2 linked regions of the Xenopus tropicalis genome follow. The protein of the gene in region 1 purifies or fractionates together with the protein of each later gene. This does not show direct contact. Links are inferred from orthologs where the notes say so. Each region holds a gene or a part of one and is shown on either strand. Other genes may lie near its edges.

The links.
Region 2: the proteins of cep97 (region 1) and sugt1 purify together in Homo sapiens (affinity purification with mass spectrometry; 3 studies listed by BioGRID and IntAct, with this or other methods). This does not show direct contact. The link is inferred for Xenopus tropicalis from reciprocal best matches to the Homo sapiens genes CEP97 and SUGT1.

Annotation. Positions count from the first base shown.
Region 1 is NC_030678.2:101,944,045-101,948,226, reverse strand, and holds the start of cep97 (centrosomal protein of 97 kDa), read right to left. Parts: upstream 2,922-4,182; 5' UTR 2,425-2,921; intron 2,155-2,424; 5' UTR 2,079-2,154; coding exon 2,045-2,078; intron 846-2,044; coding exon 703-845; intron 1-702. Other genes in the region: rcc1l (RCC1-like G exchanging factor-like protein), read left to right, coding at 3,635-3,913. UniProt on the Homo sapiens protein: Acts as a key negative regulator of ciliogenesis in collaboration with CCP110 by capping the mother centriole thereby preventing cilia formation. Required for recruitment of CCP110 to the centrosome.
Region 2 is NC_030678.2:132,229,814-132,233,908, forward strand, and holds the start of sugt1 (protein SGT1 homolog), read right to left. Parts: upstream 2,896-4,095; 5' UTR 2,861-2,895; intron 1-2,860. UniProt on the Homo sapiens protein: May play a role in ubiquitination and subsequent proteasomal degradation of target proteins.

The DNA of each region.
Region 1 (4,182 bases):
CTTAAACATTTTATTGTTAGACACTGACCTATGGCCATAATGAAGAATAAGTATGTGATGCAATTGTTATCAAGACAATCACTCTGGTGGTCTCCACAAGTGAGTATCATCTGCTGTATTTGCTCAAGAATGCTCTTGGAGGAAACATCATGGGTTTCAAATTTGCTTGTTTAACTTGTTTATATTATAAGTAACACAGAGTCAGCATTGGAATATAAAGGATTGTATGTCTGGGTCTCCACTGACTCACTGACAACTTTTCTGACCATATTTATTAAAGCTTTTCAAAATACACATCAAAAGTTATGTTATATAGCTTGTTTATGTAAGAAAAATACTGATAACCCCACTCCCAGTGCTTGTTAAACATTTATTGCTTAGCATTTCTACACAATACTGTAACTAAAATCTATATACCCAATGATAAATATATACAGTGTTAAACATAGCTCCAAAGCTATAGCCATCCTGAAGGGATGCTTAAATAAAGCCCACACATAGGTGTACATAAAATAATGGTCTCAGTTACATCACAGAAATGAAATTTTAGAGAAAAATATACGTCAACATGCATGCAACATGAATATTAATATACATGTCAATGCAAAGCTATTTTAACAGTTTAAGTCAAGAGCATGGGATCTACACTGAGCAACCCATACACAGTGAATACACCCCCCAAATTTCATTTCAGCTACAAACCTGTACTAGATTTCTGCATTTTTCCATATGTTCAAGCTTAATGATTTGATTTTTGTCCAATATCAGAGTTTGTGTGTCATTCCCAAAAGGAAGTGTAGGGCTCAATTTCTGAAGCCCTTGTCCTGAGAGGTCAACCATAGAACCTAAGAATTAGGAAAATTTACAAATAAGAAAATGACAGATGACCTAACCTCTCCTTTACTGAAAACAATGACACGTCTCACAAATACAAAGAGTTGCACTTAATGGAAGCAAAATACATACAGTACATATCTAGTATAAATAAATCTAAAGCAACTGGACTTGTTAAGTATTCGTTGAAGACGTTCCACTACTCATCCGAGCAGCTTCTTCTGAATTGGATGTACATGCAGTACATCCAATTCAGCAAACGTTTTACATGTATAACAAAAATATATAGCTCAGCATCAATATTGCACAGTCAACATTATGTTAAAGGTTTACTTCCTGGCTGCTCATCATGTGTACCTGCCACTGAAGGTCTACAGGTATTGTTTCTGTCTCCTGAAACAATGTAGCAAAAATCAGTTTTCCTTAATGTCTGTTAATCAGCTGGCTTCTGCTAAACTGTTTCAGAAGCCAGAACCAGAAGAATAAAGAATATAAACAGGGGAATCAAGAAGTACAGGCAGGCACTCTGGATAAATGAAACGTCCTTAGTAGCTCAGCAAGTTGAAATAAAACCAGTATAGTTTATTTAAACTTACACATAATGCTATGAAGCCTTACGCGTTTCGTACCTAAATGGGTACTTAGTCATAGGCTATAGATGTCATGTCTATAGTACTTAGACATGAGCCTATGACTAAGTACCCATTTAGGTACAAAACGCTTAAGGCTTTATAGCATTATGTGTAAGTTTAAATAAACTATACTGGTTTTATTTCAACTTGTTGAGAAAGTTTCATTTATCCAGAGTGCCTGCCTGTTCTTCTTGATGTCCCATTATTGGCTCCCTGAAGCTGAAGATCTAGGGCATGAGCATGCGGACCCTTTAATATTATGGGTAAAAATTCTACTTCATTCACCTGAGTCCTATGTATTCTTTGTTTTTTGGATTGTTCATAGAATATAAACAGCCAGACAGATATTGCATTCAGTAGTAGTATTAGAATATTTATAAATTATATTAAAAAACAAAATTGTATATTGGAAAGCTGCTTAGATTTAGAATTTCTTTCAATGCACAAGTTTTGGGTGGAGGTGCCCTTTAATAGGGTAGAATGCCAGCAGAGATAGAAAAGCCTAGACAAGATGGGCACCCTATGGAGGGTAGACTGATAATCTCTTGCTGACACTGGTGAATAGACTTGCTACTTACCTTGACTCTCGCAAGCCAAATGTGCCACTGCCATATCAGCTGGGTTCCTTTATCTTAGCTTCGATCAGCCACGTATGTTGCCACAGTGGGACTACAGTGGTGTCATTTAGCTGCAAATCAATAAATAATGTATTCACTATATTTCAAAAAGTATTTCATGCTTATTCTCAGCATTCTAAAATGTATAAAAAAAAGAATGTATAAAGTGGGCTTATACCTGTATCCAGGGCTTCCACTGCTATACACACATTGTGTACTAAATGCATAACTGTCAGTTCAACAAAGAACATACTTTAGGGCTTCCCCACAACAGGTACAAAAGGAAGAAGCCTGCTTATCTCAATATGCAATTAGTACAACATGAAAGAAAAAATACATACGGTAGCGATATGTTCCCTCTTCTCAGCGTTGTCAGTTAAACGGTCACTATGGATGAAGCGTTGGGTTATGGGGATTGTAGTCCAGTGTTTAGGCCCCGCCTTGAATTTTACACACTAAAGAGAAAGCTCTCTAACACAGCGCTTGTGTCTTGCACTTCCTGTTCCATCGCCGATCTTAATGACGCCATCGACACTTCACTGGTCATATCTTGGAAAGGTGGACTGGAACAATTCCCCCCAATCTTACATGGCACAGCTAGCCTCTGAAGAGACTGATACACAGAGCCTTTGCACAGAATGGCAAAGTGACCAATTAAAAAAAATAGCACAGTAACCCCCCACTCTCAAAGAATAAACGGCTCCAAAATTTAATGATTAAAGCACAAAACGACTCCTATTTAGAATTACGAATCTGCAGTTCCCTCCTCGCTAGCTCGTTTGTTTACTTGGCCCTTCCCGGAAGCTACTGCTTTATCATGTTTTCTCCTCCTCTTTTGGAACTAGCGAATAGCTTAGAAGAGCTCTCTTGTGAATAACTGTAAACCAGACTATGATTGGCTAACTTAGATTGGCTAACTAAGATTGGCTAAGTTTTGGGCGGGGCTACGCTACAGCTAAAAATGAAAAATACAGTAAGGAGGGTAAATGGCAATGACCAAGACAGGAGGAAGTGGGAGGAGCAAGGATCGGGGGGGGGGGGGCGTGAATAATGATGGGGTTATAGAATGTAGGACTGCTGATGGGAATACACGTGCAGAAGAAAGCGCATTCAGGACTGCAGTAATATTAATGCATTCCGGCAACGCTTCAGTTTTGCAGGTGTGATAATGAAAGGGATGAACTGACCAATTATGTTCTTGTACAGGGCACCAAAGGGATAAGTGGGGGTTTGATATAGTCACGCTTCTTGTCCATAGGTATGAAGTTAAAATCAAGTACTACCCTTCCAGCAATCTGGGTAAAGGGACATCAATGTGCTCTGGGCCCTTCAGTAGTATATTGCAATATTGGGCTCAGCATTCTCTGTTAGGATGATGAAACTTATAGCTCACTAATAGACAGAAAGCTGTGGGATCATGCACAAACCTTTTCAAGTACACAGATAAGGCATCAGATCACCTCTTTGTAATAAAATGCAGTAAAATCTCAAGTGTGTTAATTATATGGGTTATGTATCCCTGGACATAGGTTTCATGACAACCACCTACAAATGTGGACTTCATTGTTCTTCAGAGGCCACTGTATTCTGAAATGCAAAGGTCACCTTCAGAGACATTTGTCTGCCAAAGTTAGCAAGAGCAGAGAACAAGATGAACTTCCAGTGTTTCAGTATGTGGGCGAGAGAGCAAAAAGGAAGGAGCGGGTATTCGTTTGGGGATTTTCTCACACAGGAGCATTGGGCATCCCCAGTTTTGTCATCCCTGAGACCGGAAGAAAGAAACCAAAAAAATTCCAGCTAACGCCCTACAGGTTGGATATGGATGAAAAGGTGAGGTATAGGGGAAGCTTATGTATAATCTACTTAGAAAAATAACAATCATCTCTAATTTACCAATCAATTTCCCCTTTATTACCAACATGTAGTAATACAGAAAATTACCAATTACCAATTTAGTAATTCCCTCATAGAGAAGTATTGTACTAAACCTAAAGGGATTCTCCAGACCCTGTCTGCTGTGCCTCCTTTATTTACATACTTTTGTATGAAGACTGAAGAAGGTTGGGCGATGCTGTTCTATAAATGAAAGCAGCAGGCAG
Region 2 (4,095 bases), about 30 Mb from region 1:
TTCAGCATGTCAATAACCCAAAGAAGACATCTAAATCAACAGCTCCACTTAACAATGTTCTGGAATGACCCAGTTAGAGCATAGGAGATGTCTTCGCAATATGACTTTTGCAAGTCCATATGTGCCAAAGTGACTAGTTCAGAGGGTGTGCACACTGTGAGCACACCTAAACTAGACAGTTTTGTAACAAAATAGACTGATACTTGGAGCTATGCCACCTTGTATTTCTTTTCTCCTTTTTTTCACTGTTTCTAATTTGTTTTCAACTACTTTGTATAGACTGCAATTTTGCAATAAAGGTTATTTAGTTAAATAGTTATCAATCCACCCATATATAAGGCAAGTTGTGTTTTTTATATTTTATGTTGCATATGACAAGTATAATTCAAAGATGACAAAACTGCCATTGGGCAGGACAGGTGCCATAAGAATCAATTTGATAGCCACAGGCAGCTGCTAGAAATCCTGGTATAAATTATAATATATTTTAGGGCAATGAAGGACTGGGTAATTTGCAGAACTGCCCCACCATTTACTTGAATAGCCAGGGTCGGACTGGGCCGCCGGGACACCGGGAAAAATCCCGGTGGGCCCCGGCCCTAGTGGGCCCCAGCGGCCCAGTCCGACCTTTGCCGGCGCTCCCCCTACTGACTGTTCCTCCCCGACGCGTTCAATTTATACACGCTCGGGGAGGACGTCAGGCGGGGGCCCTGGGGGGGGGGTTAGGGGACGTGGCTGGTGGGCCCTGCACCCTCCAGTCCGACCCTGTAAATAGCAAGCTCACTTGGGGGTGCCAAAATGTTAGGCCCAAGTGACTTTAATTGCTTAGCTTTTACCCCGGGCTGGTGCCCCTGTTCGGAGAAAACCGCACCAGCCTGGGGTACCTGCGAGCAAGCGTTTGCTCTTCCTTATTTCTTTTGTCTTCGGAATCCCTGGGCCGGCACATGCGCAGTAGAGTGAAAAGCAGACTTTTTTGTTAAAGTTCGACTTTTCACTCTACTGCGAATGCGCAAGCGCGCGAAGACAGGAGCAGGAAGAGGAGGCGCTTGCTCGCAGGTACCCCGGGCTGGTGTGGTTTTCTCCTAACAGGAGCACCAGCCCGGAGTAAAAGGTAAGGCACTAATGACTAAGCCTTTCCTTCTCCTTTAAGCAAGTAGTTGGCATAACTGTCTCTATGTGTGTTTTAGCACAATTCTTAGTACTGTCTATGGCAGAGTATTTTCTGGCGTTCTGTAGCCGTAACGAGTAGCATCGTATTTTATAGCCCTAAGTCCACTGTGAAAGCCATACCATTCCATATAACATATACTGTTTAAAAAGAACACTTTCACAGACTAAGAATTTATGCTCTCATGTTGAAGGTGGGCCCAAAGCACTGAATGAAAGGGGAGGGAAGTACTTTTTCTTTTAGTACTTGCATAGTTACCAGCATTTGAGCCTTTTCTTTCCCCCCACTAACACTATACAAACAATACTGGTTCCTATACACCAAACACCGTCTCCTTGGAAACTGACAACTGTCAGACGCCTTATCCTTAACCCTTTCGGTGGCTGGACTCTATCATTTTACTGCACCATATGTTTCCAGAAAAAATGCAGTGCTGCTTCAAACTAAACAAACCCATAACTGTAGAAACACTGCCACTATGACTACTTTATGCCGTTGTCATGCATTCTATGGTACCAGGTACTTATGAGAAACATTGAAAAAAAAACAAAAAACCCTATTTTACTTATTATTATTAATACAATTGTGAAGCATGAACGTATTCTACAACATTGCACAATAAATGGATATATACATTACGCATACAAAAACACATCCAAAAGCAACCAGTACCCAACACAATACAAGAGGAAAAGAGGGCCCTGCCCAAAAGAGCTCACAATCTTCCACAGCAAACCTTTTGCAATCATTTATGTGAATCATTTTATAGTAATTAGTTTAAGACACATGGGAGGCATTAATATACTAAATTAAATTACAAATATATATATATATATATATATATATATATTACAGTAGGTACAAACAATAGGGATGTCACACTTAGGGGTATATTTATTATGCTGTGTAAAAAGTGGAGTAAGGCATTACCGGCCCAAGCTAACCAATCAGCAAGTCAATTTCAACAGTTATTAAACCGAACAAACTATCTGATTGGCTGCTATGATCAACATCACTGATTGTTGTTGAATATTTCACTCCACTTTTTACACAGTATGATAAATATGCTCCTAAGAGATTATGGGATGAGTTTTACCTGCTGTGCCATATCCCTAACACACTTAGAACATAAGCCTCCAATACATGGGAGTGTAATCTTTATAGGACAGGGACCTCCTCCTGTATCTCTTAACATAAGGAATGCCATCATGTTACTGTGTATATTACTTTATTGCAATACTTGTCCCCCAGCAGAATAACCTTCTGAAGGACAATACCCTGACATCAGAGCCTGGATTTCCCAGCAGCCACAGTAGGAAGTGAGGGGAAATACAAGATAGTGTGATGCCTGATGCTGTTGCAAGGGCTAAGATTGCCCTGAGGTACTAGCACTACAGCTCCCAGCAGGCACAGCCATTTACAATTTACTAGTACTGTATTTTCAACTGCTAGGGGGCTGCAGGTTACACAAACACTACTAACTATTAAAACAGCACAAAACGTATGCCATGCTACATTGTGTCTACTGTAATAGGGGACACACGCCCACTGTATTGTAACAGCAGCCCCCGCAGCTCAAGGAAACCCATCAACTGTACGTACTGCCCAGCTGTCACTGACCCGGAAACCCCCGGACCCAGGTGCTGGGCAGCAGCATAGGCAGTACTTCTACCTGCTACACACAGCCCATACCTGTACGTGTTACACACAGCCCATACCTGTACGTGTTACACACAGCCCATACCTGTACGTGCTACACACAGCCCATACCTGTACGTGCTACACACAGCCCATACCTGTACGTGTTACACACAGCCCATACCTGTACGTGTTACACACAGCCCATACCTGTACGTGTTACACACAGCAAACAGATCGCTCCAACTGCAGCTCAGTGAATCCCCAGGCCGGACCGCAGGGAATGCCAAACAACAACGCGCCGCAGAAACTGTCCCTCACCGTGACTCCGTAGGGGGAAAGTTCTAGACTGGCCGGGAACTTGCAGAGGGGATGAGCAGGGAACGCGTAAGGCCAGAGCGGGGAAATGAAGCAGAGCGGCATCTGCAGGTCAGGAGGAGCAATGACACATTTAGAAGCAAGCTTATAGCTGAATTGACCTGACAACATGCCCTAATAAAGTTCAAGTCGTGTCACATTCACTTTCTGGCTTCTTGTAATGGGATTATATGGCAAAGGAGTGACTAAGGGAGGTGATAACAATAAGTTTGTTGTAAGTCAGTCTTAGAGGCCATTTCCAGGGATACCTTATAGAAGATTGTAAGCTCTTCTTGTAGATTGTAAGCTCTTTTGGGCAGGGCCCTCTTCACCTCTTGTATGGGTTATTGATTGCTTCATATGTTACTCTGTATGTCCAATGTATGTAACCCACTTATTGTACAGCGCTGCGGAATATGTTGGCGCTTTATAAATAAATGTTAATAATAAAAAAAAATAATAGAAGCTTAGGGGAGAAAATAAATATGTTCAGGTCTTAAATACAAAATGAAGGTATAGTGAGCATTTATTTTATAATAGGCTTTGCTTCTTCTTTATATTGTACCTGTGCCTAGGGACTGGCACCTGGAAAAAGTACCAGCCTTCTTATATTTTCAACTTTTTTCCCAGCATCAAGCATCATTTTGCTATCCACTTGTAAAATACTGAATAGGTGGCAACCTACCTGTGCCTCTTATTGCTGGCAGCTTCAATCCTATAGTTGATCCAAGTACATAAGTCTATGGCACACTGCAGATTCTGTCGCAAGTGCACGATTATGTCGGAATGAATTGCGGCAGCATTCATTGTACCGTACAATTCCTTTCTTCTCTATCAGATATAATATTAATGCCAGCCCAGTTTATATGCGCTACTAACCAAATTATTGGTACAAAGCCAAACCAGGTTCTCGGTAAAGTATTTTTATTTTA